Anolis sagrei: one gene and its partner. The protein of the gene in region 2 purifies or fractionates together with the protein of the main gene of each other region. This does not show direct contact. Links are inferred from orthologs where the notes say so. Each region holds a gene or a part of one and is shown on either strand. Other genes may lie near its edges.

Region 1 (15,719 bases), on a different chromosome or scaffold from region 2:
CACTGGGTTGTTGTAGGTTTTCAGGGTTGTATGGCCATGTTCCAGAAGCATTCTCTCCTGACCTTTCACCTGCATCTATGGCAGGCATCCTCAGAGGTTGTGAGGTGCTCACTACCTATGAGGATGCCTGCCAAAGATGTAGGTGAAACGTCAGGAGAGAATGCTTCTGGAACATGGCCATACAGCACGAAAAACTTACATCAACCCAAGAAAGGTTCTGTAGATTTGTTCTTAAGTTGAATTTGTATGTAAGTCTGAACAGGTACATTTTGAAGTGAAACTCCAGTTTAAATGTGTGTGTATATATGTATATGTACACACAGTTTGGATATCATAGGGAAGGGTTAACACCCCTGTGCTGTTTCTTTTGCTGTTTGTGCCCTTACTCAGAAAGGTCTCACCTCCCTTTTGGTCCCAGTGATCACTGGATTTTGAAAAAATTGGCTTGTTGTGAAACAAGGATTGGTGATAAAGCTTCAGTAGAGACACTTTTTCTCCATGAGAATTGTCAATTAAGAGACCTTGGACTGGAAGTCTGGACTATGATTTGGATTTGCAGACTCAGACTTGGTTGTTTTAATAGTTTAAGGGCCAATATGTTTAATGCATTTTATTGCTTTTTAAATGTATTTTTATTGCTGTTGACCTGTTCATGTTAATCGTTGTGTTCTGTTTCTTTGTCACCATCTAATGAGTGCCAATTGTAAGCTGTCCTGAGTTCCTCTTCAGGGGTTGAGAAGGACAGGATACTAATACTCTAAATAAATAAATAATAAATATCAAGAGTGAATTTCCCTTCCGAGGGGTAGATTTATGTCACTTCCTGTTGTCCCGCCCCTGTTGTTAACTATGAGACAGTTGTAAGTTGGATATTTGTAACTTGGGGACTGACTGTATATGGAAGTGTCGATGGGGCCTCCCTCTCTCTCTTACCCTTAAGTGACACTGAGCTGAGCAGGAAGGGGAACCAACGCATGAAGCTAGAACTTGCCTTTGAGTGAAGGATTCCACTGCTCAGTAGAATCTTCTTGCAGCTTTTGGTTGACACTGCAATTTTCAGGGTGTCCTACATACACAATGCTGCCAGAAAAAACAGCGTGGGAAATGAGGGTTTAGGATTGTGGGCTGGCCATATGGGTAAAGCTATTACACAGTGGTTTCACTGTAGACATAATCTTGTACAGAGCTGCTCAAACCACATTTCGTACAGGCCAGTTTACTTGTATGAATGTTTACATCTGTTCATTAAGGTGGCTGGTTTATCAATTAGCCCACAGAACAGTTGTCTACTGAACCCAATGTTGTTCATTTAGATGGGTAGTATTCTTTTATTTATTTATGCCACCCTTTTCACCCCGAAGGGGATTCAGAGCGGTTTACAATATATATATAATTATGATATATTATATTATTAGCATTGTACAATATCAGTATTATATTACTATATTGTACTGTACCATCATATTGCAATATTACATGTAATATAAAATATATAATTATATTATCATATTACTATTATATTGTAGGTAAAGGTAAAGGTTTTCCTCTGACATGACGTCCAGTCGTGTCCGATTCTGGGGTGTGGTGCTCAACTCCATTTCTAAGCCGAAGATCTGGCGTTGTCTGTAGACACCTCCAGGTCATGTGGCCGGCATGACTGCATGGAGCGATGTTACCTTCCCACTGAAGCAGTACCTATTGATCTACTCAAATATGCATGTTTTCAAACTGTTAGGTTGGCAGAAGCTGGGGCTGACAGAGGAAGATCACGCTGCTCCCTGGATTCGAACCTACGACCTTTTGGTCAACAAGCTCAGCAGCTCAGCGCTTTAACCCACTGCGCCACTGGGGGCTCCCTATTATATTGTATTACATTATTATTATTATTATTATTATTATTATTATTATTATTGTAATGTATTATAGTATATTATATTATAATATTATAAATATATGTATATACAATATATTACATTACATTATATTATTAGCATAGCACAGGAGACAAGGTGGAACGGTCCCCTGGCCCCCTCTCTCTTCACTCTGGCCCAGTCAGGATCTAGGGTCCTAACAGGAACAAGAGTTCTCTCTATTTGCATTGTGTGCTAACAAGAGGTGCCAGGGACCTAATCTGGGACCTTCTGGATGCAAAGAATGTTCTTTGCCATTGAGCTAGAGTCTTCCTTCTACCTTGTGATTTTGTTTTGGCTTATCTTGGTTTCAATGTCTACTCCTCCTTGCCACTCATTCTGCATCGGGGTGGACAGCCTGTGGCTTTCCAAATGCTGTTGAACTCCAGTGTTCATTGGCAGAATGATATGGCCAAGGATGATGGAAATTTTGCAGTCCAACAACAGGGGAAGTGCCACCTTTTCCCCAGCCGTGTTCTACATTCCACTGATTCCTTTGATGCTCTTATCCTCCCTAGCACTTAAAGAGCATGAGGCGAGTCCTTGGCTCAGATCTCATCAGGAACAAAGGCAAGTTACTCTCTCATCTAGCAGCCTTCCCCAACTCATTCTTAAATTGGCTCCGTTATAGGTCTAACTCATTGCAAAGATTGCCTTTCAGAAACACCCCTGAGACCTTAAACAAGTCCTCTGTAAGTGCCAAGTATAATTCTGTGGCTAAAAGTCTCCAAACCTCAAAGGGAGAGGCTGGTTCTGCTTTTTAATGCCAAAATAATACTCATAACTTGGTTCCTTTTTATTTTAATTTTCCAATGTATGTAACTTCAAGAACAGTTTTCAGTCTTGTTTCAAGTTATGTCACTAGAGAATTTCCCACAGTGGCAATCTTTCATTCTGTGACCAGTGTGATATTTAAATCTGGTAGCAGCAACATGCCTAATTGGGTGCTGAGTGCGCAGCTGAAGAGGGCTTCGAGATCTCACGCCTTTGTGATTTCAACAGGCTTTGGTCCCTTCCACACAGCTGTATAAAATCCACACTGAACTGGATTATGTGGCAGTGTGGACTCATATAAACCAGTTCAAATCAGATATTGTGGATTATCTGTCTTGATATTTTGGGTTATATGACTGTGAGGAAGGGCCCTTTGTCAACATCTCACAAAAATGAGTGAATACCTCACTTCACATTTTACGCTCCCTAGTTGAGGAAAGGTTGCATTGTAGAACAGTTAAGCAATCTGGATCATGTAAAAAAGACAATGAAATCACTAGAGCCTGGCATAGCACTCTAGAACAAGCATGGGCAAACTTCAACTCTCCAGGTGTTTTGGACTTCAACTTACAGAAATACCAGCAAGCTTACTGGCTGTTAGGAATTGTAGGGGCTGAGGTCCAAAACACCTGGAGGGCTAAAGTTTGCCCATGCCTGCTCTAGAAGCAACAGTATTTCAGGAAATGTAATTTGTTGCAAGCAATGATGCTACCTGTGACACATCATTTTTGTGACAATGGGGGCTAAGTAGGGTCAGCCCTGGTTAGTACTTGTGTGGGAGGCCACCAGTGCCAGGTTTAGGACAAATGAAGCCCTGTGCTAGTGAAGCTGAGTCCACACTGCCATATAATCCAATTCAATGTGGATTTTATACAGCTATGTAGAAAGGGCTTAATGGGGAATGTATACACAGCTGTACACATGCCATATTATCTGCTTTGAACTAGATGATATGGCAGTGTAGACTAAGATAACCCAGTTCAAATCAGATAATGTGGATTTTCTGCTGTGATTTCCTGGATTATCTGGCAATTTAGAAGGTGTGTAAGTGAGACCTGAGGAAGAGTTAATGTTTTCATGTGTGTCTTTTCCCCAGATCCCTAGGTTGGTCTGCAGCCGCTCACCCCTTTCTTATTTATGCCCAGCTGTTTACTTAATATCCTAAGGCTCTAGACCCTGTTTGATTTTGGAAACCAAGCAGAATCAAACCTGGTGAGTAGTTGGTGGGGAGACAACCAGGCGCTGTAGACTATATTTCACTGGTAGGACCTGACAAACTATGCACTTCTGCATATGCCTTGCTTAAGAAAAGCCTATGAAATGCATGGGGTTGCCATAAGTCAATAGATACTTTGAAGGCACCTACCTGCACACAAACAAAATATCATTTTATTAATTTTAAACAACCAATTACTTTGATCTCAATATATTATAATAGTTTTAAAATCAATGGCCAACACCAGTGCAAAAAACATTTTAAATAAAATTATTAAGCAGTGAAATTTATCTCCCTTTCTCCTAAAGGCTGGATGATTGAGGTTGATTTCTGGTGCAATCCTGCATTTCTCCTGCCTTATAACACCAATTTTGCATTTTTAGGTGAGTAGTACACCCATTTTTAAAATTTCACATGCCATTTGTCTTGCTTTTCCACTCTTGAAATATTATTTATTTTGCCATGTTATACTATTTTTTTTACAGGTTATGTTGTGTAGATCTTCAATTTAAGGAATAGCCTGTACTGGGTTGTTTAAACCATAAAATATAACATAAGATATAAAAATACATTAATATTTTAAGTAGTTACAAGGCAACAGAAACAGATGGAATCTCAAAGCCTTTTCAAAGATTTCAAGGGGAAAAACCACACACATTTCATTCGAGACCTCTGCAATCAGGGGACCACGACTGAAAAGGATCTGCTCCTCCCATCTATTATTCTGAATGATCTTACTTGGGCTTGCATGAAAAGACTCCAAACCTGATTTTATCTCAGGTTTGCCATTGTCTTCCTCTGAAGTTGAGAGTGTGTGACTTGCCCAAGGCCATCCAATGGATTTCCAGTTGTCAAGTCTGGACTCAAAGCCTGATCTCCAGAGTCATAGTCCAATGCTCAAACCACTATACTACATTGACTCCCCAAAATAATATACATTGGCATAAATCCAGGTTGATCATGGTAGTCCATGCCTTAGTTATATACTGCCTGGACTACTGCAATGCTCTCTATGTGGGGCTGTCTTTGAAGATAGTTCAGAAGCTTCAACTAGTCCAGAGATCAGCATCCAGGTTACTAACTGGGGCTCTGTACAGGGAGAGAATCAGTCCCATGTTATGGCATCTCCATTGGCTGCTGGTCTGCTTCTGAGATAAATACAAAGAGCTGGTTGTTACCTATAATGCCCTAAACAGTTTGGCTCCAGGCTATTTGTCTAACTGCATCTCCCAAATATAGACCCTTCATACACTTCGGTCAGTGGAGGAGGCCCTGCTCTCGGTCCCATCCCGTCATAAGCGCTGTTGGTGGAAACAAGAGAGGGGGCCTTTTCTGTGATCGCTCCCCATCCCTGGAACTCCCTCCCTAAAGAAATAAAAATGGCCTCCACCTTCCTCTCTACAGAGAGGAGAAGGACTATCACAACCAGCACTTTATGGCTGCTACAGTCTACTTTAAAGTACAACTGATGCTTGCCACATTTTTCAGTTTGGTCGTTTTAACTGTTTAGGGTATATGCTTAGTGCAATTATGTTTTATTGATATAATTATGTTTCCCTCAGTATTTGTATCTCTTGTTTTAATCTGAATTCTCTTGTTGCAATAAGTCTGATAATGTTTATTTTTCATCTTTTGATATTGTGTGATTTAATTATGGCATTTAATGTTTGCCTTTATATATATATATGTAAACCTCCCTGAGTCCCTCTGGGGAGAGAGGGCGATTTAGAAATAATAATAATAATAATAATAATAATAATAATAATAATAATAATAATAATGTTATAGCAGTGTATGTCACCAAGAAGATTCTGGCCTTTATCTCTTGATAAGTGCTCCCTTAAAATCTAGCAGAAGCCTGCTAGCTCTTGCACAGACCTGCTGGATATTGAGGGGCAGGACTTTTCTTTAGGTCAGAGGAGGGAAACTTAGGCAGACTGAAGGTCATTTTTCTGCTCTTGAGTGTGTCTGTGGGCCATACATGCAAAGAATAAAACCCAAACCAGGTGTAGTGAGAAGTCTATCACTTATTTTGAAAAACTAGTATTTTAAAAATGTATATTTTAAAATGCAATGTTACCAAAATCTATGAAGGCGTTAGAAGACACACATCAACACCCCTTTTAATTTTGTGAGAAAAACTGCTGTCTGAAGCCAAGGGTCACAGAAAGAGCCTTGCAGGGCCACATGCTAACTTAGGGCCCTTCCACACAGCCATATAACCCAGAGAAATAAGGCTGCATTATTTTTCTCAACCATCGAAGGGGGACTCAGGACGGCTTACAATCATAAAATCCCACAATATATTCTTTGAACTGGGTTTTCTGAGTCCATACTGCCATATATTGATTTTATGCTAGTTATATGTTGTTGATTGAGTTTTGGTTTATATATATAAGGCATTGAATTTTGCGTTATTTTTGTGTAAACCGCTTTGATTCCCCCCGGGGGTGAGAAAAGCGGTATATAAATACTGTAAATAAATAATATTCCAGTTCAAAGCAGATAATGTGGGATTTTTGTCAGCCATGTGGAAGGGGCCCTAGTGGGCCATGTCCACAACAGATTTGTGAAAGAAGACATTATATGTAACATTGTGTATTGTGTAATGCAAATCCCTGATGATATCATGGAATAGTTCTTGCAGTGCTGAAAATGCATAGCATAAAAACAAAATTAATAACTGCATTATTCTTTGCTACAATAGAATCTTGCTTATTCAACATAAATGGGCCGGCAGAATTTTGGTTAAGTGAAAACGTTAGATAATAAGGAGGGATTAAAGAAAAGCCTATTACACACCAAATTATGTTATGATTTTACAAATTAAACACCAAAACATCATGTTTTACAACAGTTCGACAGAAAAAGCAGTTCTATATATGGTAATGTTACGTAGTAATTACTGTATTTACGAATTTAGCAGCAAAACATCGCAATGTCTGTGGATCCGGGAGGGAGGCAGGCTGTGTTGGATAATGTAGAACTTTGGATGAGCAAAGGTTGGATAATCAAGACTCTAATGTACTTCCTTTCTCTTTCATCATTGCTATTGTAATTATTTTGCCCAGGAGTAATGGACATACAGGATTTAAATAGTTTCTCCATGCTATAAAAAGCCTGAGGCCTAAAATTTTGATATTAAAAATGTCACATTTATCCCCCGCTTTTGCCCGAGAGATGTTCTCTTGAATGTCTTCAAATAAATATGGAACGAATCAAGAGAGACACACATTAATTCTAACTTACCCGGGAGTCTTTGTAGACAGAACGGAGCAAACTTGGGCTTTAAACCGTATCCTGCCGTCTATCTCCTTTCAGCAGGCCTTGGCTGAGAATTCCTCAGATGAAAGCATTTTCTTTGGTACCAGAGTCCGAGATGGGTTTTTATTTTCTGGGAAAGTTGTTGACTGAAGTCACACTGGGCATCTCTTCATGGGTCTTAGATGCATGGCCTGAGATGGATTCATGGGTTTCCTTTCCAACGGTTCCAGTCCTCCTGGATTTTCACTTCAGTAAGAACAGTGCCCCCAGATTGGGGCTGAAGCTGAGCTCCAGTGAAGTCCGTTTCAAGGAAGCCACAGAGTTGAAGGCAGCTGGGAGTGTGTAAGGCTGGGTTGTGGGGGGAGACAGGATCCTCTTTCCAGCCCCCCTGCTCTTTCCCTCTTGCTGAAAGCAGCGGTTTGGCAAGCTCTGGATGTGGGAGAAGTTAAAAATGTTTCTTATTACTGCCTCTTCCTGCCTGGCTTTTCTCCACCACTCCCAGCTAATAAAGCATTTCCTATTGCGGAGCGTAGATCTATATGCGCACACACAACACACTCTTCCTCCCAAGCACAGCAGGGCCCTGTGCAATTGTTCTCTATGGTCTCCCTATTGCCTCACCTTTCTGGGTTTCCTTCCTCCCATCCTTCCCTGCTGCCGCCTTCATTTTCAAATCTGAATGGACTAATCCAAAGCTATGTGTTAGTTAACCAAACTAATCACTACTTTATCTGTCCAAAACAGTAAAACGTTATCCTGTCTGATAACTAGAAGAACAGTGACCTGTCAAAACCCTGCTAGGTTTTCTGCTTCCCTTTGAGAAAATATTTTTGGGTGGTCCTCAAAGTAACTTTTCTAAGGTTTACCTTTAGGTAAGCTGCTATCAGTGGGCTTCTTGACCCAGTAAAGTTTGTGAAGCTTGCAAAGTAACAGTTATTTTGTGCTGTCTTGCAACATTTTGAGCTCAGCCCTTGTTTGGTTCCTGTGCTTAAGTGAGACTGGCCGTTCTGTTGAAGACCAGAATACACTTAAGCTGTCAGCAGCAGCAGCATCTTCTCCAATGTTGAACACAGATGGTGAGTACCAACAGGACTGGGACCAAAACAGAGCTGCTGAAAAACATGGTGGGAGGTACCAGTGGGATTACAGATATTCAAAGCTGGAGATGTGCACAAAATATTTTAAAATATGAAGGCAAATAAGTAAAGACAAAACAAGTTCTTGAGGAAATGCCAAGTAGACCGGGAATGTTTCAGTGTACTGACATTGCATAAGTACAGTTGTGTTGTTGTGTGTCAGCAAGCTGTTTCTAATTTATAGTGACCCTAAGGCCATACGTCACTGGGTTTTCCAGGGCTGAGAGTGTATGATTTGCCCAAGGTCACACAGAAGGTTTCATGGCTGGGCAGGAATTGGATTCTGTTTTCCAGAGTTATAATCCAATGCTAAAATCACCACACCACGCACATACAAAAAAGTAGAGGCAAAGGTGAAGTAATGAGAAGATAGGAAAGCTTAGAGAAGACAACGATGCTGGGGATAATGAAAGGAAAAAGGAAGAGGGGGCGACCAAGGGCAAGATGGACGGATGGCATCCTTGGAGTGACTGGCTTGACTTTGAAGGAGCTGGGGGTGGCCATGTCCGACAGGAAGTTCTAGCATGGGCTGGTCCATGAGGTCACAAAGAGTTGGAAACGACTGAACAAATAAGCAACATCAAGCCAGTGAGCTCTGGAGTCAGGTAGGACCCATTAGAGATGAGTTCCTAAGCTGTAACACCACGTTACACAGAAATATAAACATTATCTTCTACCAGTGCTGCTGACCCTGAAATCTATCTTCTCCTAGAGATTGGGAGAAACGTAGAAATTTCTGGAGACTATGGGTCTAAAACTGAATGTGGGTTAAAACCTATCTCAAGGACTCCCTACAGCATGATACAATTAAGGTCATTTTGCACCTGCCCACACCAATGAAAGAGAGGCAAGGCATAATGTAAAAAGATAATAGAATAAATTCTATCTAGCTTTTAAAAAGTAACACATTAGTCATATTTTTAAAAGTCAATATATTACTCATTACTGGAAGAATTGTGCATTAGCAGCCTGTCATTAACATATTGCATCACCACCACCAACATCATCATTTCATAACAACACACTTAAAAATAGAAAAATGTCCTAATTCTTCAATATAATTCCTCCAAACAAGTACAAGTTGAGCATACCTTATCTTGAATTCTGAAATCTAAAATTGTCCATGTGCCTGTCTGAGATAAGGATGCTTTGGCTTTGTGATGCTTCAGTGTGCCCAAACTTGGTGTCATCCACAAAATTATTCAAAATATTATATGAAGTTACCTCCAGGCTATATGTATAAGGTGCCTCTGAAACATAAATTAGTTTCATCTTTAGATTTTTGTCCCATCTCATTATGTACATATATGCATATACAGGCATTTCAAAATCTCAAACTCAAAATATCTCTGATATAATAATAATAATAATAGTAATAGTAATAATAATAATAATAATCAACTTTGTTTATACCCCGCCACCATCTCCCCAATGGGGATTCGGAGCAGCTTACATGGGGCCAAGCCCAGACAACATGTTACAGCAAAATAAAACCAAAAACAACAAGCAAAATCATCAAAATTACATTAAAAAAACACATATGCATACAGTAACAAAATAACATTACAATAAACACAATTGCAGTAACAGTGGGCAGGCCACATGTACAGGATAAAATGTTAAAAAAAACTCTAATGAGATAAAAATAGGAGTAAGGTTGCAATGGTACCTCACAAAAAAAAACAAACACATTATGCCCATGTCACCCCTATAAGTAATGCATTCACAACAATATTCTGTAACCTGTTAAGCACTACCCTAAAGCTGTGATTCAGTAGGTAGGAATTCCTAATTCACACCTCCTGGCTGGACCTTCCTGTTCCCCTATGCGTTTTCCATATACTGACACTTCATAATGCCCCTTTTAGTGTGAGAGTCCCACTAGTGGGGTTCCTATGCTTTTGACAACCATGTGATAGAAATGCAAGATATAATATAATCCCTTGCAACTTTCTCTTCATTCAAGGGGAGAAAAAGAAAAGAAAAACCTAGGTTACATTTGATGTGTTCTTCTTTTTTCAGCATAGAGAGGGGGCATATTTTTGCTTATTACATGCAAGTCCTCTTTCTTCAGCATCATTAATATCAAAATCCAGGGAGAACTGGTGGCTTCCATATCAGTGGTGGTGGTAAATCTGTCCTGGGGCTGAGTCTGAACTTTAAAACAGCAATCCAAGATGCCTAAGGGTATGAACTAGGGTTTACTTTGGATAGGTCCTTCAAAATCTGGATTAAAATGTGAAGCAAATTCACTGCCCCATTGACATGGGACCCATTGGCCTTCACTAGAAACCTCTGCCAATATGCAGTGTCTCAAAATGTGTTCCTTCCTCAAACTAATTTTTATCATATCCATTCTGAACAAGACAGATACCCTAATAACAGTTTGCAAAAACTATTTTGAGAACTAACATAGGGTACTTCTACATAGGCAATTAATCAGGAGCAGAATGAGAATGATAGAAATCCAGTTCACTCCAGAGTGCCGACATAGGCACCACAGGAACTGGCTGGTATATGCAAGTGAGTCCACACAAATCCACAGGATTTCTTCATCACATTCTGCTCCAGATTGATTGGCTCAATTGAAATCCAGGAATATGTTTTTTACCTCCCCTAAGAGACAAACAACTTCTCAGAAGCACTTGCCTCACAACTCAGCAAGGCAGGGCAGTAAAATCAGGCATTCCTATGGGAACGCTGGGCTTTCCTTAGCGGGGTGGGTGGGAGAGAGATTTATTTTCCAGCTGGGCTTTACAGCTGCTTTTTTATTGTGAATGCTTTCTTACTCCTGTTTACATGAGAATCCCTGCATTTGCCGTCTGGCTTCTTCTTTTGCATTGTTTATACACAGAAGGAATTCAGCAGATTTTCTAGCTTGATCCAGGATTTCTGGTGAGTTTTTTTAAAAAAGATAACACTGCTCTGGAGATTGTTTTCTGAGCACACTAAACTTGAGCTGACTTCAAGCAGAATTTTAGTGTTGGTGTAGATGGGCCTCTGTTATGATTTTTGTAGATGAGTTACATCTGTTGAAGCAGACCATTGCACACCAAACCTGTGCTATAAAAATAGTATTTAAGTGCTTCAAGGTAACATCCAAATCTTGCATTGTATAAGCTAGTTATTTGGATTCCAGTGCTATATGTCTTTAGGACATATAGGACTGGAACCCAAATAACTAGCTTATACAATGCAAGATTTGGATGTTATCTTGAAGCACTTAAATACTATAGGACATATAGGACTGGAACCCAAATAACTAGCTTATACAATATGTCCTATAGACATATAGGCAATGAAAGTAGCAATGAAAGTAGCAAATGTGCAGGTACAACTGCACCAAGAGCTCCAATTTTGTTTGCTTCGCATTTAATGTTTGTTATAGTCCCAAGTTTCAGGAACTCTGCAGATAGGTGGCTTCTTTTGGCTGCAATCATAGGGCAAGCCACCTGTCAATTATAGTTAGGTTCCCTGGTTCCGCCCCCTTTTTGGGTTTTAGAGGGAATAGGAGCCATTTTGAGTTCAGTCTACACAGAGAAGCCTTTCATGCAGGACACAATACCAAGAGCTCCTGTAGAAAGCTTCGTCTTCTACGGCTTGGCCGGGGAGATATACAGCTCACAGCTTGGCCAGGGTTATACAGCCCTACAGCTCCTTTGCTGAAGGACTTCAGCCAGCCATCACAGAAACCTGAACTCCTTTCCCCCTGGAAGTCTACAAAGCTCTGCTTGGTAAGGGTCACTTGTGGAAGCCAGAAGCAGTTGGTACCGGGTGTAGGGGCTCCACACCAACAGAGGCGAAGACAGACTGCCTAGATTAGAGGTTAAGGATTTCCCCATTAGTTGAAATACAGTTTATGAAGATAGTGCCTGTTCCCTGTGGACAAGATCGAGAGAGCCAATAGACTATTAAGAAAGCCTTAAAGTACCTGTTTGTTTTCAATAATAAAGAACTTTGTTGAACCTTTAAGCAACCTAAAGACTCTGTTTAAGGAAATCCAAAGGCCTTTAATCTGAGGCAGCCCCGGCGTCCCGTTGGGCACACAGAATTTATGCCCTGTCTACAGTCTTATGTACAGGCCCAGCGTGCGACAGCACAGCAAATCTTAAGGTATGATCGATGGTAGACATTCAGTGCCTCTGCAACCTGGATTCAGGCTGTTTGAAGGACTATATATCCCCATATGAGCCCATTGGAGCTCTAAAATCTTTAGGAGAGGCCCTTCTTTCTATTATACTACCTTCTCAGGTTCATTTAGCGGGGACAAGAGAAACAGTTTTCTTAGTGGCTGCTCTCAGACTTTGCAACCCCTTTCCTAGGAAGGCCAGGAGAGCTCCATTCTTGCTCCACTTCTGTAAGGAAGTTGAAACATTTTTATGTGATTATGTTTTTAGAAACTGACTTGTTGAGCTTTTAACATTGTGCAATGCTGGTGTTAAGGTTGACATATAGTCTTTTAATGAATGTTAATGTTTAATACATTGCTTAATTGTCTTCTAAATTAAATGTATATATATACTTTTATTGACATTTTTGTATAGTTTTTAATCCATTATGCAAGGTGAGATGTAAATTGTTACAATGACAACACTAATGATGTGCAGGGTGCTGGGAAGAGAAAACATTGATTATTACGCCTACTATAAATAGGTCTGATTCTGAACAGGTATTTTTATATTCAATTATCAAAGTATAAGCTGCTTTCAGACGTCAGCTCCAGCTCTACAAAGCCGGAAACTGGAAGCTATGACTAAAGCCTTCTCATACATACTCTATTATTTCTAAGAATGTTGAACAGCTTCACAAACTATGTGAGCTTGCAACTAAACCTTCTAGGCACTCATGTTTTCCTTTGCTCATTCAGTGTCAAATACAGAGGCGAAGGTTGGAGTGCCAGGATCACCCTGTTGCTGAAATCCAGGCTCCCTTGAAGGGGAAAAAAGGAAATGGTCCCAGGAATGAAAAGCAGAGCCTTGTAAGTTCCCCATTGCCACCAATGGGCCAGATCTAGCCGCATTTTTCAGCTGTGGTACCTGCCCATTTTTAGGAGGCTTGCAAAAATGCATACGGGTCTACTGGAATCCGGCCAGCAGAAAAAGATTGAGGTTCAGCCAAAATGCACAAGCCTAGTATCAACACAATATATCTCATGAATGTCATTTGTATTGAATTTAGACACTGCCTGACATTACATAAATACCATGTTTTGTACTATTTATTGATGATGGCAGGCCCGTAGCCAGGATTTCGTTTGGGGGTGTGTGTGAATTTTTTTCAGGGGGGTTTCGGGGGGGGCTGAGTTTTGGGGGGGTTATATTGAGTATGGTGATCAGATCATGATATGAATAAACATAACAGTTTAAATAATGCACCAGTAAGGCCTTTTCGCGAACCACCATGAGAATTTCGGGGGGGGGGGGGATGAAGCCCCTCAAGCCCCCCCCCCCCCCGGCTACATGCATGGATGATGGTAAAATGTCCCAGTTTCTCTCTCTCTCTCTCTCTCTCTCCCCCGCCCTGTATCCCTTTGTCCTCACTTTTAGTTTACTTCAGTTGCTGCAAGCTGAACTCAAAGTGCAAATGTCTGCACTCATTAAACTCAGTGTGGAACAGAGAAAAGGGTGTGCATGGGAAACCTTGCCTCTGCTAGATGATGTTTTCTCCCTCATTAATAAGCCTTGTCATCTCAAATGTTGCTTGGCCATACAGTATCCTCATTTTCCTCTGAATTGTTGGATGATATCAGCGTTAAGGTAAAGGTAAAGGTTGTCCCCTGACATTAAGTCCAGTCATGTCCGATTCTGGGGGTTGGTGCTCATCTTAATTTCTAAGCCAAAGAGCTGGCATTGTCCATAGACACCTCCAAGGTCATGTGGCCGGCATGACTTCATGGAGCGCTGTTACCTTCCCACCGAAGCAGTACCTATTGATCTACTCACATTTGTGTTTTCAAATTGCTAGGTTGGCAGAAACTGGGGCTGACAGCGGAAGTTCACGCCCCTCCTCTGATTTGAACCTGTGACCTTTTGGTCAACAAGCTCAGCAGCTCAGTGGTTTAACCCCAGTGGGGGATTATATCCATCCAGGAAAGCAGACTTTGTGATGGTTATGTTATGGAGAAAGTAAACTTACAAGCATTCTGATATTTCCAGAGGCCGAACCACAAAACATAGCTCTACTAAGACCAAAATTAAAGGTCTCTATGTTTTCCCACATGCTAATTCATTGTGAGAAAATGGCCAGTGGTTGTTTCCTTGAGTGTTCAATGACACGGCAGGGAGAAGGAAGAAAATACCCTTCTGACATTTCCTGTTGTGAAAAATTATGGAGCCAGACTCTTTGCAAAGTCTTCTCAGATTAGGTTGCTGATCCATTTCCCCCATTTTCCAAATGCATGGGTTATTCGTATAATCCGAGTTCATCTGAATGCCACTTAAGATGTAAGGGTTGTTGCTTATCTTGAGCAATGGTGATTTCAGGCTCTTGGACGGGAAATACAAGAACTTTGTTGAGTCTGCATCCCTTGAATTGGAAATAAAGAAGTTTGATCTGATAACAGCAGATCTGCGCTGTGGAGGCAGGAAAAGGAAATCTCGTTGCAGGAAATGTGTCTTGACTTGGAATACCTTCCTCTAATCTCATGAGCCATCTTTCTTCCTCCTTGGAAATCTCAGCTGCCCACTCACCTCTTGTGGAGTCAACCAGCTCTGGTCTATTTTTGAATCCATCTTTCATCGTGGCTTTGTTTGACAGCAGAAATGTGTTTTTTCAGCATGAACTCGTGACATGCATAGTTTTTCCTCAGACTCAGATCATGTGGTCACCCAAGGCTTTTTCTTTATTAACTCAAGTACAATATGAACCTTGGCTCTCCAAAATCAGACAAACGGAGTTGACACTTTCTGTTGCTTCACTACTGGCAGGTTTCCCATACTTTACAACATTTTACAGGTCTGATCTACATTACCATATAGCACTATTCGAAATTGCATTATATGGTCAGTGTAGTAGACTTATACAATGCAGTCCAGTGTATTTAAACTACATTAAATAAGGACCATTCCACACAGCTGAATAAAATCCCACATTATTATTATTATTATATTATTATAACTTTATTTGTACCCCGCTAGCATCTACCCAAGGGATTCGATGCAGCTTACACAGGCCGAAGCCCCAAAACACAATACAACAATACAATACCCAAGCAAATTAAAAACAGTTAAGCAGAAAACAATAATGGTAAACCATACACAAGACACTATTAAAACTGGGCCGGCCGGAGTAGGGGTACTGGGTTAAAAGTGCTGGCGTGGCAGGAGGGATGTAGGATTAAATATAAGTGCGATGCGCAGTGTGCAGTGATCTTGGTTCTACTAAGGTGCTTCTAGGATTTGGTGCTGGAGGTTCCTATCT
Region 2 (15,918 bases):
AAGATAAGTCTGTCCAACTCCGATTAAACCATTATTCTAACCTTCAATGTAAACGTGCTTAGATATACTTCCAATCATAATAAAAGGAGTAAAATAATAAATGGAGTAAAATAATAATAGAGGAATATAATGGAAAGGTAATAATAATAGAGTAACATAATGGAAATGTAATAATAATAATAGCAGAGTAAAGTAATAAATGTAATAATAACAATAATAGAGTAAAATAATAAATGTAATGATAACAGTAAAATAATGGAAATATAATAATAATAATAGCAGAGTAAAGTAATAAATGTAATAATAACAGTAAAATAATGGAAATGTAATAATAATAATAGCAGAGTAAAGTAATAAATGTAATAATAACAATAATAGAGTAAAATAAAAATGTAATAATAATAGTGAAAAAATAAATGTAATAATAACAGTAAATAATGTAGATGTAATAATAATGATAGAGTAAAATAATAAATGTAATAATAATAGAGTAAAAATAAATGTAATAATAACAGAGCAAATAATGTAAATGTAATAATACGAGAGTAAAATAATAAATGTAATAATAACAGAGCAAATAATGTAAATGTAATAATAACAATAACAGAGTAAAATAATAAATGTAATAATAACAGTAAAATAATGGAAATGTAATAATAATGATAGAGTAAAATAATAAATGTAATAATAACAATAATAGAATAAAATAATAAATGTAATAATAACAGAGTAAAATAATGAAAATGTAATAATAACAACAGTAAAATAATAAATGTAATAATAATAATAGAGTAAAAATAAATGTAATAATAACAGAGTAAATAATGTAAATGTAATAATAATAATAGAGTAAAATAATAAATGTAATAATCATAATAAAATAACAAATGTAATAATAATAAAAGAGTAAAATAATGGAAATGTAATAATTACCATAGTAATTGAATAAAATAATAAATGTAATAATAATAATAATAATAGAGTAAAATAATAAATGTAATAATAATAGAGTAAAAATAAATGTAATAATAACAGAGCAAATAATGTAAATGTAATAATACGAGAGTAAAATAATAAATGTAATAATAACAGAGCAAATAATGTAATAATAACAATAATAGAGTAAAATAATAAATGTAATAATAACAATAACAGAGTAAAATAATAAATGTAATAATAACAGTAATATAATGGAAATGTAATAATAATGATAGAGTAAAATAATAAATGTAATAATAACAGTAAAATAATGGAAATGTAATAATAATAATAGCAGAGTAAAGTAATAAATGTAATAATAACAGTAAAATAATGGAAATGTAATAACAATAATAGAGTAAAATAATAAATGTAATAATAACAATAACAGAGTAAAATAATAAATGTAATAATAACAGTAAAATAATGGAAATGTAATAATAATGATAGAGTAAAATAATAAATGTAATAATAATAATAATAGAATAAAATAATAAATGTAATAATAACAGAGTAAAATAATGGAAATGTAATAATAACAACAGTAAAATAATAAATGTAATAATAATAATAGAGTAAAATAATAAATGTAATAATCATCATAATAAAATAATAAATGTAATAATAATAAAAGAGTAAAATAATGGAAATGTAATAATTACCATAGTAATTGAATAAAATAATAAATGTAATAATAATAACAATAGAGTAAAATAATAAATGTAATAATAACAATAATAGAGTAAAATAAAAATGTAATAATAATAGTGAAAAAATAAATGTATTAACAGTAAATAATGTAGATGTAATAATAATGATAGAGTAAAATAATAAATGTAATAATAACAGAGCAAATAATGTAAATGTAATAATAACAATAATAGAGTAAAATAATAAATGTAATAATAACAATAACAGAGTAAAATAATAAATGTAATAATAACAGTAAAATAATGGAAATGTAATAATAATAGAGTAAAATAATAAATGTAATGATAACAGTAAAATAATGGAAATATAATAATAATAATAGCAGAGTAAAGTAATAAATGTAATAATAACAGTAAAATAATGGAAATGTAATAATAATAATAGAGTAAAATAATAAATGTAATAATCATCATAATAAAATAATAAATGTAATAATAATAAAAGAGTAAAATAATGGAAATGTAATAATTACCGTAGTAATTGAATAAAATAATAAATGTAATAATAATAATAATAGAGTAAAATAATAAATAACCTGGACTCGAGTATAAGTTGAGGGGGGCCTTTTCTCAGCCTAAAAAAGGGGGCTTATATTGGAGTATGTCCAGTATGGATACCTGGCTTGATCTCTCCCGAAGGAGGGGCCTCAAAGCGGCTTGACATAATGGTATCGCCTGTGGTGGACACAGGGATGGAGTGGCCGGCTCTGGAAGGCTACTCCACCCTCTGGCTGGGCCCCATCTTGAGGCAGGAGGCAGGCTCCTCGTGGGGAAGGAGGCCTTTCCCTGCTTCCATCCTTTCCCAGAGGACAACCAGAGGGTGCGAGAGCCTGGCTTCCCAGGCCAAGCTTCAGGCCTGTCTTTTCACCTCAGGCCTGGCCGCCATCTTGGGGCCTACCTGGGCTGGAGAGGCCTTGGCAGCGGGCCCGGCTTGCTCAGGCTCAGGCCTCACAAATGAGTGGAAGCCGTGGGGTCGCCCCCCTCTCTTGGCCTCAGGAGGGGCACGCTCTTGGAAGTCTACATCTCCCAAGGGCCTGGTTTGGGGTGCGAGGCCCTGGGCAAACTTCACTTCAGGCCTGTCTTTTCACCTCAGGCCTGGCCGCCATCTTGGGGCCTACCTGTGCTGGAGAGGCCTTGGCAGCGGGCCCGGCTTGCTCTGGCTCACGGCCTCACAAACGAGTGGAAGCCGTGGGGTGGCCCCCCTCTCTTGGCCTCAGGAGGGGCACGCTCTTGGAAGTCTACATCTCCCAAGGGCCTGGTTTGGGGTGCGAGGCCCTGGGCAAACTTCACTTCAGGCCTGTCTTTTCACCTGAGGCCTGGCCGCCATCTTGGGGCCTACCTGGGCTGGAGAGGCCTTGGCAGCGGGCCCGGCTTGCTCAGGCTCAGGCCTCACAAATGAGTGGAAGCCGTGGGGTCGCCCCCCTCTCTTGGCCTCAGGAGGGGCACGCTCTTGGAAGTCTACATCTCCCAAGGGCCTGGTTTGGGGTGCGAGGCCCTGGGCAAACTTCACTTCAGGCCTGTCTTTTCACCTCAGGCCTGGCCGCCATCTTGGGGCCTACCTGGGCTGGAGAGGCCTTGGCAGCGGGCCCGGCTTGCTCTGGCTCACGGCCTCACAAACGAGTGGAAGCCGTGGGGTCGCCCCCCTCTCTTGGCCTCTGGAGGGGCACGCTCTTGGAAGTCTACATCTCCCAAGGGCCTGGTTTGGGGTGCGAGGCCCTGGGCAAACTTCACTTCAGGCCTGTCTTTTCACCTGAGGCCTGGCCGCCATCTTGGGGCCTACCTGGGCTGGAGAGGCCTTGGCAGCGGGCCCGGCTTGCTCTGGCTCACGGCCTCACAAACGAGTGGAAGCCGTGGGGTCGCCCCCCTCTCTTGGCCTCAGGAGGGGCACGCTCTTGGAAGTCTACATCTCCCAAGGGCCTGGTTTGGGGTGCGAGGCCCTGGGCAAACTTCACTTCAGGCCTGTCTTTTCACCTCAGGCCTGGCCGCCATCTTGGGGCCTACCTGTGCTGGAGAGGCCTTGGCAGCGGGCCCGGCTTGCTCTGGCTCACGGCCTCACAAACGAGTGGAAGCCGTGGGGTGGCCCCCCTCTCTTGGCCTCAGGAGGGGCACGCTCTTGGAAGTCTACATCTCCCAAGGGCCTGGTTTGGGGTGCGAGGCCCTGGGCAAACTTCACTTCAGGCCTGTCTTTTCACCTGAGGCCTGGCCGCCATCTTGGGGCCTACCTGGGCTGGAGAGGCCTTGGCAGCGGGCCCGGCTTGCTCAGGCTCAGGCCTCACAAATGAGTGGAAGCCGTGGGGTCGCCCCCCTCTCTTGGCCTCAGGAGGGGCACGCTCTTGGAAGTCTACATCTCCCAAGGGCCTGGTTTGGGGTGCGAGGCCCTGGGCAAACTTCACTTCAGGCCTGTCTTTTCACCTCAGGCCTGGCCGCCATCTTGGGGCCTACCTGGGCTGGAGAGGCCTTGGCAGCGGGCCCGGCTTGCTCTGGCTCACGGCCTCACAAACGAGTGGAAGCCGTGGGGTCGCCCCCCTCTCTTGGCCTCTGGAGGGGCACGCTCTTGGAAGTCTACATCTCCCAAGGGCCTGGTTTGGGGTGCGAGGCCCTGGGCAAACTTCACTTCAGGCCTGTCTTTTCACCTGAGGCCTGGCCGCCATCTTGGGGCCTACCTGGGCTGGAGAGGCCTTGGCAGCGGGCCCGGCTTGCTCTGGCTCACGGCCTCACAAACGAGTGGAAGCCGTGGGGTCGCCCCCCTCTCTTGGCCTCAGGAGGGGCACGCTCTTGGAAGTCTACATCTCCCAAGGGCCTGGTTTGGGGTGCGAGGCCCTGGGCAAACTTCACTTCAGGCCTGTCTTTTCACCTCAGGCCTGGCCGCCATCTTGGGGCCTACCTGGGCTGGAGAGGCCTTGGCAGCGGGCCCGGCTTGCTCTGGCTCACGGCCTCACAAACGAGTGGAAGCCGTGGGGTGGCCCCCCTCTCTTGGCCTCAGGAGGGGCACGCTCTTGGAAGTCTACATCTCCCAAGGGCCTGGTTTGGGGTGCGAGGCCCTGGGCAAACTTCACTTCAGGCCTGTCTTTTCACCTGAGGCCTGGCCGCCATCTTGGGGCCTACCTGGGCTGGAGAGGCCTTGGCAGCGGGCCCGGCTTGCTCTGGCTCACGGCCTCACAAACGAGTGGAAGCCGTGGGGTCGCCCCCCTCTCTTGGCCTCAGGAGGGGCACGCTCTTGGAAGTCTACATCTCCCAAGGGCCTGGTTTGGGGTGCGAGGCCCTGGGCAAACTTCACTTCAGGCCTGTCTTTTCACCTCAGGCCTGGCCGCCATCTTGGGGCCTACCTGGGCTGGAGAGGCCTTGGCAGCGGGCCCGGCTTGCTCTGGCTCACGGCCTCACAAACGAGTGGAAGCCGTGGGGTCGCCCCCCTCTCTTGGCCTCAGGAGGGGCACGCTCTTGGAAGTCTACATCTCCCAAGGGCCTGGTTTGGGGTGCGAGGCCCTGGACAAACTTCACTTCAGGCCTGTCTTTTCACCTGAGGCCTGGCCGCCATCTTGGGGCCTACCTGGGCTGGAGAGGCCTTGGCAGCGGGCCCGGCTTGCTCTGGCTCACGGCCTCACAAACGAGTGGAAGCCGTGGGGTGGCCCCCCTCTCTTGGCCTCAGGAGGGGCACGCTCTTGGAAGTCTACATCTCCCAAGGGCCTGGTTTGGGGTGCGAGGCCCTGGGCAAACTTCACTTCAGGCCTGTCTTTTCACCTCAGGCCAGGCCGCCATCTTGGGGCCTACCTGGGCTGGAGAGGCCTTGGCAGCGGGCCCGGCTTGCTCTGGCTCACGGCCTCACAAACGAGTGGAAGCCGTGGGGTCGCCCCCCTCTCTTGGCCTCAGGAGGGGCACGCTCTTGGAAGTCTACATCTCCCAAGGGCCTGGTTTGGGGTGCGAGGCCCTGGGCAAACTTCACTTCAGGCCTGTCTTTTCACCTCAGGCCTGGCCGCCATCTTGGGGCCTACCTGGGCTGGAGAGGCCTTGGCAGCGGGCCCGGCTTGCTCTGGCTCACGGCCTCACAAACGAGTGGAAGCCGTGGGGTGGCCCCCCTCTCTTGGCCTCAGGAGGGGCACGCTCTTGGAAGTCTACATCTCCCAAGGGCCTGGTTTGGGGTGCGAGGCCCTGGGCAAACTTCACTTCAGGCCTGTCTTTTCACCTCAGGCCTGGCCGCCATCTTGGGGCCTACCTGGGCTGGAGAGGCCTTGGCAGCGGGCCCGGCTTGCTCTGGCTCACGGCCTCACAAACGAGTGGAAGCCGTGGGGTGGCCCCCCTCTCTTGGCCTCAGGAGGGGCACGCTCTTGGAAGTCTACATCTCCCAAGGGCCTGGTTTGGGGTGCGAGGCCCTGGGCAAACTTCACTTCAGGCCTGTCTTTTCACCTGAGGCCTGGCCGCCATCTTGGGGCCTACCTGGGCTGGAGAGGCCTTGGCAGCGGGCCCGGCTTGCTCTGGCTCACGGCCTCACAAACGAGTGGAAGCCGTGGGGTCGCCCCCCTCTCTTGGCCTCAGGAGGGGCACGCTCTTGGAAGTCTACATCTCCCAAGGGCCTGGTTTGGGGTGCGAGGCCCTGGGCAAACTTCACTTCAGGCCTGTCTTTTCACCTCAGGCCTGGCCGCCATCTTGGGGCCTACCTGGGCTGGAGAGGCCTTGGCAGCGGGCCCGGCTTGCTCTGGCTCACGGCCTCACAAACGAGTGGAAGCCGTGGGGTGGCCCCCCTCTCTTGGCCTCAGGAGGGGCACGCTCTTGGAAGTCTACATCTCCCAAGGGCCTGGTTTGGGGTGCGAGGCCCTGGGCAAACTTCACTTCAGGCCTGTCTTTTCACCTCAGGCCAGGCCGCCATCTTGGGGCCTACCTGGGCTGGAGAGGCCTTGGCAGCGGGCCCGGCTTGCTCTGGCTCACGGCCTAGGCCCTCGAATAGCACACTCTCTCAGCCATAAGGTAAGAAGAGACCCACATTCCGCTTCTGTCCATGATGGGGAATGTCTTCCCGGGCGGTGGTTTGGTCCTAGGCTAGGCCTCACATCCATTGGGGGGGGGGGAGGGGGGAGGAATGGTCCACCCAAAACAACAACTGGGACAGTTTGTGCTTGCTTCAGAAGTTTATACTTTAATTTCTCCTAAACTGCCAAGTCATTTTTGAATAATAATAATTTATTTATAATAAGGGTCTGGAGAACAAGCCCTATGAGGAGCGGCTTAAGGAGCTGGGCATGTTTAGCCTGAAGAAGAGAAGGCGGAGAGGAGATATGATGATAGCCATGCATAGGAAAGGAGATGTTGACAAGCTGGAATGTGTCAAGAGAAAGAGGGCAACTCAAAGGATCAAGGGTCTGGAGAACAAGCCCTATGAGGAGCGGCTTAAGGAGCTGGGCATGTTTAGCCTGAAGAAGAGAAGGCTGAGAGGAGACATGATGAGGGCCATGGATAAATATGTGAGAGGAAGCCACAGGGAGGAGGAGGGAGCAAGCTTGTTTACTGCTTCCTTGGAGACTAGGACTAACACAATGAAGTTCAACAGGGGGAAATGCAAGATACTCCACTTTCGCAGGAAAAACGAAATGCAAGAGACAGAATGGGGGACGATGAGGCCTGGCTCGAGAGGAGGACATGTGGAAAAGATCTTGGGGTCCTCATGGGGAGGAAGGGGAACATGAGCCAGGAATGTGACGTGGCGGCAAAAAAGGCCAATGGGATGTTGGCCTGCATCAAGAGGAGCCTAGTGTCTAGATCTAGGGAAAGTAATGCTCCACATGCTCTATTCCGTTTTGGTTAGACCACTTTACCTGGAATATTGTGCCCAATTCTGGGCACCACAACTGAAGAGAGATATTGACCCTAAGCTGGAATGTGTCCGGAGGAGGGCAACTCAAAGGATCAAGGGTCTGGAGAACAAGCCCTATGAGGAGCGGCTTAAGGAGCTGGGCATGTTTAGCCTGAAGAAGAGAAGGCTGAGAGGAGACATGATGAGGGCCATGGATAAATATGTGAGAGGAAGCCACAGGGAGGAGGAGGGAGCAAGCTTGTTTTCTGCTTCCCTGGAGACTAGGACGTGGAACACTAGTCTCAGACTACAAGAGAGGAGATTCCATGTGAACATGATTGTGAGAGCCGTGGAACTCTCTGCCCCGGAGTGTGGTGGAGGCTCCTTCTTTAGAGGCTTTTCAACAGAGGTTGGATGGCCATCTGTCAGGGGTGCTTTGAAAGCAATTTTTCTGTTTCTTGGCAGAATGGGGTTGGACTGGATGATGGCCCAGGAGGTCTCTTCCAACTCTTGGATTCTATGTCCCACTTCCTCTTTTTCCCCAAAAAGACTCAAGAGCATCTCAAGGTCATTCATAAGCTATGGCTGGATTGACACCTGAGTTTTGCAAGCATGGCCTGGATCAGCCCAGAAGGCGCATCCACACAGCACGAAATGAAGAATGAATCGGCATTAAGAACCAGGGAGCAAAAGAGCCGTTGTGGAGTGGTGTCCTCCTCCAACTGTTGACCCTTCCCTTTGCTATCCAACATGCATATTTGTCTGGAGTGGCACTTGTGAGCGAATGCCCCTGTTCCGACTTCCGACAGAAGCGACTGCCTTGTTCGTAACTCAAGGGCGGCCTGTGCTGCGCTTCCTGGCAGTGCGGATGGGGACGGAGTTGTTTGCATCCTTCGAAGAAGGTTTCCTCTCTTTATAGAAAAAACTCCCCAGCATTTCCTCTTGCTGTTTTGGCAGGCAGGCCTTCCTCTGAAGTTGGGAGTCGATTTCCTGCCTCCGATGCATCATCCGGACGGAGTCCAGCCCATCTGGGCAGAGGCCGCTCAAGAGCAGACGCAGGCAGCCACGGCAGAAGTGTGAAGCTTCTTTGCGCCTGGCCTTGCCCCTCGTTGCCCGCTCTCCGGGTCTCCCCAAAACAGACCAAGGCTGGAGTGGAGAAGGGCCGCAGTGAGCCTCCAGTCCACCCCGCGCCCAGCCCCGAAAGGCCACTGTCCGGCGGAGAGCGTTGCCCTCGGACTTCTGCCCCTGGACACGGGCTAAAGCAAGCCACGCAGACGGCATGGAGACCGGTCCAGTGGTCTTCCTGCTGGCCACCAGCATGGCCATCCTCACCTGGGCAAGTAAGTGTCACCTTGGGCAGACCAAGCTTAGCGGGAATGGAAGCCGGAGTGACCCATCTCTTGTGGAAGGCTTTCGTGGCCAGAATCACTGGGTTGCTGAGAGGTTTCCAGATTGTGTGGCCACTATGTTCCAGATGCATTCTCTCCTGGCGTTTTCACCTGCATCTGTGGCTCATGGCATCCTCAGAGGGTCTGTTAGACGTGAAGCGAGTGGGGTGTATATGACTTGTGGGATAATATCCAGGGTGGGAGAAAGACCCTTGTCTGCATGAAGCAAGGGTGAATGTTGCAATTAGCAAGCTTGGTTAGCATTGAGTAGCCATGAAGTTTTTCAAAGTCAATCAGGGAGGGTGTCTGTATAGAGCAGCCGTGAAGTTTTTCAAAGTCAATCAGGGAGAGTATCTGTATAGAGCAGCCATGAAGTTTTTCAAAGTCAATCAGGGAGGGTGTCTGTATAGAGAAGCCATTAAGTTTTTCAAAGTCAATCAGGGAGAGTATCTGTATAGAGCAGCCGTGAAGTTTTTCAAAGTCAACCAGGGAGGGTATCTATATAGAGCAGCCATGAAGTTTTTCAAAGTCAATCAGGGAGGGTGTCTGTATAGAGCAGTCATAAGCTCTCAAGTCTTTTGGACTTTAACTCCCACAATTCCTAACAAACCTGGAGGGTCCAAGTTTGCCCATGCCTGGTATAGAGGTAGCCTGGCTGCTGTTGCTTGGAGGCATCCTCAGAAGTTTGTATGTGTGTGCTTGTATATGTGTGTGTGTATTATATATGTATATGTGTGTGTGTGTGTGTGTATAAGAACTTGTTGCGTCGTGAGCTTCCGCTGTCAGCCCCAGCTCCTGCCAACCTAGCAGTTAGAAAACATGTAAATGTGAGTAGATCAATAGGTATACTCTGGCGGGTATTTATTTATTTATTTATTTCGGGTATTTCTACCCTTTTCCTTCTCAGGACGGCTTACATTTGGCAGCAATTCGATGCCACTACATATAACAAAGCAATATAATAACAATTAAAACAACAAATAAAACATTCATTATAAACAATAAAAACAGTATGCAGTCATGGAGCACCAACCTCCAGAGTCGGACACGACTGGACTTAATGCCAGGGCGAAACCTTTACATTTGCCTTTGAGGACCCTTCTACGCTGCCATATAAAACCCAAATTCTCTGATTTGAACTGGATTATATGGCAGTTCAGACACATATAATCCAGTCCAAATCAGATAATCTGCATTCATATACTGGATTATATGGTCAGTGTAGATTGCACTCGAGGCCATATAAAATCCATATAAAATGCCATATAAAATCCAGATGATCTACTTTGATCTATTTATCATAGCTGCTTAACCTATCTGTTGTATGTGTGAATTTGGATGTATATATATATATGTGTGTGTGTGTGTGTGTGTGTGTGTGTGTATGGAGGCTTCTACATTGCCATATAAATTCCAGATGATCTGCTTTGGCCTGGATCCTATGGCAGCATAGAAGGGGCCGGAGCCTCCTTTGTCATTCCGGAGGAGAAAAGCCTATCTTGACTTTGCTTGGAAGCTTCTTCCCAGAAAGAGGCCAAATTCTCTTGTGAATCTGGAGCCGGGAGGAATTCCAAATATTTCCCTCCCACGAAGAGGAAATGCTGGACTACCTTAATGGGGGGTTGTTAAGGCCCCATCCACGTAGACCAGATAACTTTGCATTATTAATTTTGTGATAACAATATCAATAATAATAATAATAATAATTGTGTGCCTACCCATGGTTTCCGTTCTTTTATCGTAGGCTTTTTGTTGTCCACAACAAGTGGCACCAAGCTGCCTTAATTCTACAGTGCAGATGGGGGCTCAAGCCCCATCTACATTGCCATATAATGCAGATTCAACTACATTGAACTGCATTGCGTGGCAGTGTAGACTCGGGGTGGATCTACATTGCCTGACATCCCAAGATCTGATCTCGAATCAGGTAGACCACATAATCCAGTTCAAATCAGATAATCTGGAATCAGATCCTAGATGATATAGCAGCGTAGTTCCAGCCTGAACTGCATTATGGAATAACAACAACAACAACAAACAACACTATACTTGTATTCCACTCTATCTCCCTAAGGGAGATTTATTGGGTAAATATAATAATAATAACAATAACAATAATATAATAGGTTGCTGTGAGTTTTCTGGGCTGTCTGGCCACGTTCCAGAAGCATTATCTCCTGATGTTTCGCCTACATCTATGCTAGCCATCCTCAGAGTTTGGGAGGTCTGTTGGAAACTAGGAAAATTCGGTTTATATATCCGTGGAAAGTCCAGGGTGGAAGAAAGAACTCTTGTCTGCTTGAGGCACATGTGAATGTTGCAATTTGCCACCTTTATTACCATTTAATGGCCTTGTACTTTCAAGGCCTGGCTTGTTGCTGTCTGGGGAGATCCTTTGTTGGGCCAGCTAACACCTCCCAAGTGATTCCAGCCCTGAAAGCCTTTGACAACACAGTAATGTAATACATTTATTACCTGCCTCTCCTTGCAGCTCAGGGATGAGATGCATTGGGTAATAATAATAATAATGTGTTACTGGGTGACACCTGTTTGGCCCCACAACCGTTGTTGTGTGGAGTCCCACAGGGTTCAATTCTGTCCCCGATGTTATTTAACATCTACATGAAGCTGCTGGGGGAGATAATTCGGAGTTTCGGAATGAGATGTTATCTCTACGCAGATGATGTCCAGATCTGTCACTCCTTCTCACCTGTCACCAAGGAGGCTGCCCAGACCTTGAATGGGTGTCTAGCTGCTGTGTCGGACTGGATGAGAGCTAACAAATTGAAATTGAATCCAGACAAGACAGAGGTCCTACTGGTCAGTCGTAAGACCGAACAGGGCATAGGGTTACAGCCTGTGGTGGACGGGGTTCCACTCCCCCTGAAGACGCAGGTTCGCAGCTTGGGAGTGATCCTGAACTCATCGCCGAGCCTGGAACCCCAGGTCTCGGCGGTGGCCGGGAGAGCTTTTGCACAATTAAAACTTGTGCGCCAGCTGCGCCCGTTCCTTGGGAAGTCGGATCTGGCCACGGTGGTCCACGCTCTTGTTACATCCCAGTTGGATTACTGCAACGCACTCTACGTGGGGTTGCCTTTGAAGACTGCTCGGAAACTCCAACTAGTCTAGCGAGAGGCAGCCAGATTGCTCATCGGAGAGTCATACAGGGAGCATACCACCCCCCTGTTGTGTCAGCTCCACTGGCTGCCGATCCAATTCTGAGCACAATTCAAAGTGCTGGTTTTGACCTACAAAACCCTATACGGTTCCAGCCCAGTGTTTCTGTCTGAACGAATCTCCCTCTACGTCCCACCTCGGAGTTTAAGATCTTCTGGGGAGGCCCTGCTCTCAACCCCGCCTCTATCCCAATAATAATATATTTATTACCTACCTCTCCTTGCATCTCGAGGCTGGGATTTATTAGGTAAATATAATAATAATAATAATAATAATAATAATAATAATAATAATAATAATAATAGTATTTTTACAATGAGTGTAGGTTCATATAATGCAGTTTAACTGCATTGAAATGGATTACATGATTATCATATAATCTAGCACGGAATAAGTGAAACATGTGCAAAAGTTACTCTTCTCAACCTTTTTTTACTTAAGAGTTTACTGTTAAAAAATCCTTTCCAAAGTTACTGTTCCAAGGTATGGAGGAAAGGATAGGTCAGGTTTACTACTCTCCTGTTTTCCATCCACATTACATAAAGCAACATACCATGCCATTAGCAACTTCAATAAGAGCCCCGAAAAAGGCATCTGCTGGTTTTCTCTTTTCCTTCCTGGCCCTTTTTGCTTGTTGCTTGTTTTGTTTTATTTGTGCAATGGGTTGTTTGTACTCTTCGGGCTGAGAAAGGTGGTATATAAATATGGTAAATAAATAAATATGGTTATATATACATATGTGTGTGTGTGTAATGTTCATTTGTGGGATTAACATAACTCAAAAACCACTGGACGAATTGACACCAAATTTGGACACGAGACACCTATCAGGCCAACGAGTGACCATCTCTCATAAAAACACTGGAAAACACAGCGGAATGGACTTAAAAAGCAAATAAACCCCAAAAATTACATTACAACGCATGCACAAAACCATATATATATATATTCCCAAACACACATATATACATATATACACAAATATATATACACACACATATAAACACACAAAACACATATACACAGACTGGGCCACAGCAACGTGTGGCAGGGGACGGCTAGTCTATATAAATAAAAAGGTAATGTTCGTTTGTGGGATGAACATAACTCAAAAACCACTGGACGAATTGACACCAAATTTGGACACAAGACAACAATCAGGCCAACGAGTGACCATCACTCATAAAAGCATTGGGAAGCACAGCGGAAGGGACTTAAAAAGCAAATAAACCCCCAAAAATACATTACAACGCATGCACAAAGCCATATATATATACCCAAACACACATATATACATATATACACAAATATATATATACACAGACATATAAACACACAAAACACATATACACAGACTGGGCCACAGCAACGTGTGGCAGGGGACAGCCTGTGTGTGTATGTTCTGGGTTGTTGTAGTTTTTTTCGGGCTATATGGCCATGTTCTAGAGGCATTCTTTCCTGACGTTTCGCCTGCATCTATGGCAAGCATCCTCATAGATGCAGGCGAAACGTCAGGAGAGAATGCCTCTAGAACAGTGCTTCTCAACCTGGGATCCCCAGATGTTTTTGGCCTTCAATTCCCAGAAATCACAGCCAGTTTACCAGCTGTTAGGATTTCTGGGAGTTGAAGGCCAAAAACATCTGGGGACCCAAGGTTGCGAAGCATTGCTCTAGAACATGGCCATATTGCCCGAAAAAACCTACAACAACCCAGTGATTCCGGCCATGAAAGCCTTCGACAATATATGTATATGTTCGTTTGTGGAATTAACATAACTCAAAAACCACTGAATGAATGGACACCAAATTTGGCCCCAGACACCTTTCAGGCCGACAAGTGACCATCACTCATAAAAACACTGAAAAACACAGCAAAGGGGACTTAAAAAGCCAAAAAAACCCCAAAAATTACATTACAACACATGCGCAATAACACATATATATATACACAAACACACATATACACAAATATATACACACAAAACACATATACACAGACTGGGCCACAGCAATGCATGGCAGGGGGCGGCTAGTGTGTGTGTGTGTATGTAGATATATATTCGTGCATAACCAAAATTAACAGGGAATATAGCAAACACATATGCAACAATGAAGGGCTGATGGGATTTTTTGTCACTCACTTAGTATTAGATTTTAAAAGCCAAAGATCCCTCTAAGGCAGTAGTTCCCAAACTGTAGGCCACAACACACTAGTGGGCCATGGGGCCTAAAATAAGGTCCACGGCTCTAGATTATTAAAAATGTTTTTCCTGAGCAGGCATGGGCAAACTTCATCCCTCCAGGTATTTTGGACTACAACTCCCACCATTCCTAACAGCCTACCGGCTGTTAGGAATGGTGGGAGTTGTAGCCCAAAACACCTGGTGGGATGAAGTTTGCCATGGGGTCTTCTTCCTTTTCTGGCGGTTTCCAAGCATATGGTCATCTGTCAGGAGGGCTTTGATTGTGTATTCCTGCTTGGGAGAAAGAAAGAAGGGTTGGACTGCATGGCCTTTGGGGTCTCTTCTCAATTTCTGTGACGTTTACAGAGCGATAGGCCTTTACAAGTTTATAATCTCCCCGAGACGCAGGCGACTGGTGCCTTTCGCCTTGGCAATGGTCTCCGAAGTGGTTTTGTCGCCATCGCCGCCAGTCTGATTTAATCTCGAGAAAGAAAGAGACACAGAGGAGAGTCTCGGAAACAACATAAACAGATAACGCTTGTCTGCCGGCCGGTCCTGAGGCTTCGCTTGGCGGCCTTTTCTTCCCCGTGACGCAGGCTGCGCGGCCCAGATAAGGCCCGGAGGAAACGCCGGACAATGGGTGGGCCGAGGACACGGCGTCACCCGAGTGGCCTGAGCGCTGACCTCGAGCGAATGAAGGGCCCGACACATCCCGCCTTGACCCGTGTCCCCGTCCTCAATGTGTCCTCCTCGGTGTCCCATAAGCACACTCTTTGTGGAAGACCCCTCTGGCCATTTCCCGCTCCAGGCAGATTCAGAACTTTTGAGAAAATATGCCATAACCTTTTGGATTATCATAGTCCTTTGAAAAGCATAACCTTTTGGGAAACGACTATATGATGCGAATCTAATTCAAACCCTATTTTGGCAGGGTCCTTTAGCCACAGAAGGTGAGCATTACATTCAAGGAAACAGGGCATCGTATGGCTCTTTCGTGGTTTTTGGATCTTTGCACTACAAATAAGATATGTGCCGTGTGCATGCATCTTATTTGTAATGCAAACAAAACCCCAAAATATGAAAGAATTATTGATTTATTTATCTACGACATTTCTATGCCACCCTTCTCACCCCGAAGGGGATTCAGAGCGGCTTACGAGATATATATACATACAATATATTATATTATTAGCATTGTACAATGTTAGTATTATATATTACTATATTGTACTATACCTTTATATAATAATAATAATAATAATAATAATAATAATAATAATACTTGATACCACCATCTCCCCAAGGGACTCGGAGCAGCTTACATGGGGCCAAGCCCAACAACACATCAATAAAAACAACAAGCAATAAGCAAAATAAACAATACAATAAATATAACTCACACATAGACAAAACACACAATGATTTAAAAACCTATGGCCGGGCCAGACGTAGTAGTTAAAACTTTAAAAATAAATGCTGGATATGAACAGATCTGTAATATTATTAGTAATACTACATGTAATATAAAATATATAATTATAATATCATTTCATTATTAGTAGTATGTTGTATTACATTATAATATTATAAATATATGTATATGCAATATATTACATTACATTACATTACATTGTATTTGTTGTTCATTCGTTCAGTCATTTCCGACTCTTGGTACCCTCATGGACCAATCCATGCCAGAG

What was found.
Region 1: the proteins of ENG (region 2) and ACVRL1 purify together in Homo sapiens (affinity purification with western blotting; 3 studies listed by BioGRID and IntAct, with this or other methods). This does not show direct contact. The link is inferred for Anolis sagrei from reciprocal best matches to the Homo sapiens genes ENG and ACVRL1.

Annotation. Positions count from the first base shown.
Region 1 is NC_090022.1:139,382,050-139,397,768, forward strand, and holds the start of ACVRL1 (serine/threonine-protein kinase receptor R3), read right to left. Parts: upstream 7,668-15,719; 5' UTR 7,150-7,667; intron 1-7,149. UniProt on the Homo sapiens protein: Type I receptor for TGF-beta family ligands BMP9/GDF2 and BMP10 and important regulator of normal blood vessel development. On ligand binding, forms a receptor complex consisting of two type II and two type I transmembrane serine/threonine kinases.
Region 2 is NC_090031.1:2,305,146-2,321,063, reverse strand, and holds the start of ENG (endoglin), read left to right. Parts: upstream 1-8,447; 5' UTR 8,448-8,749; coding exon 8,750-8,810; intron 8,811-15,918. UniProt on the Homo sapiens protein: Vascular endothelium glycoprotein that plays an important role in the regulation of angiogenesis. Required for normal structure and integrity of adult vasculature. Regulates the migration of vascular endothelial cells.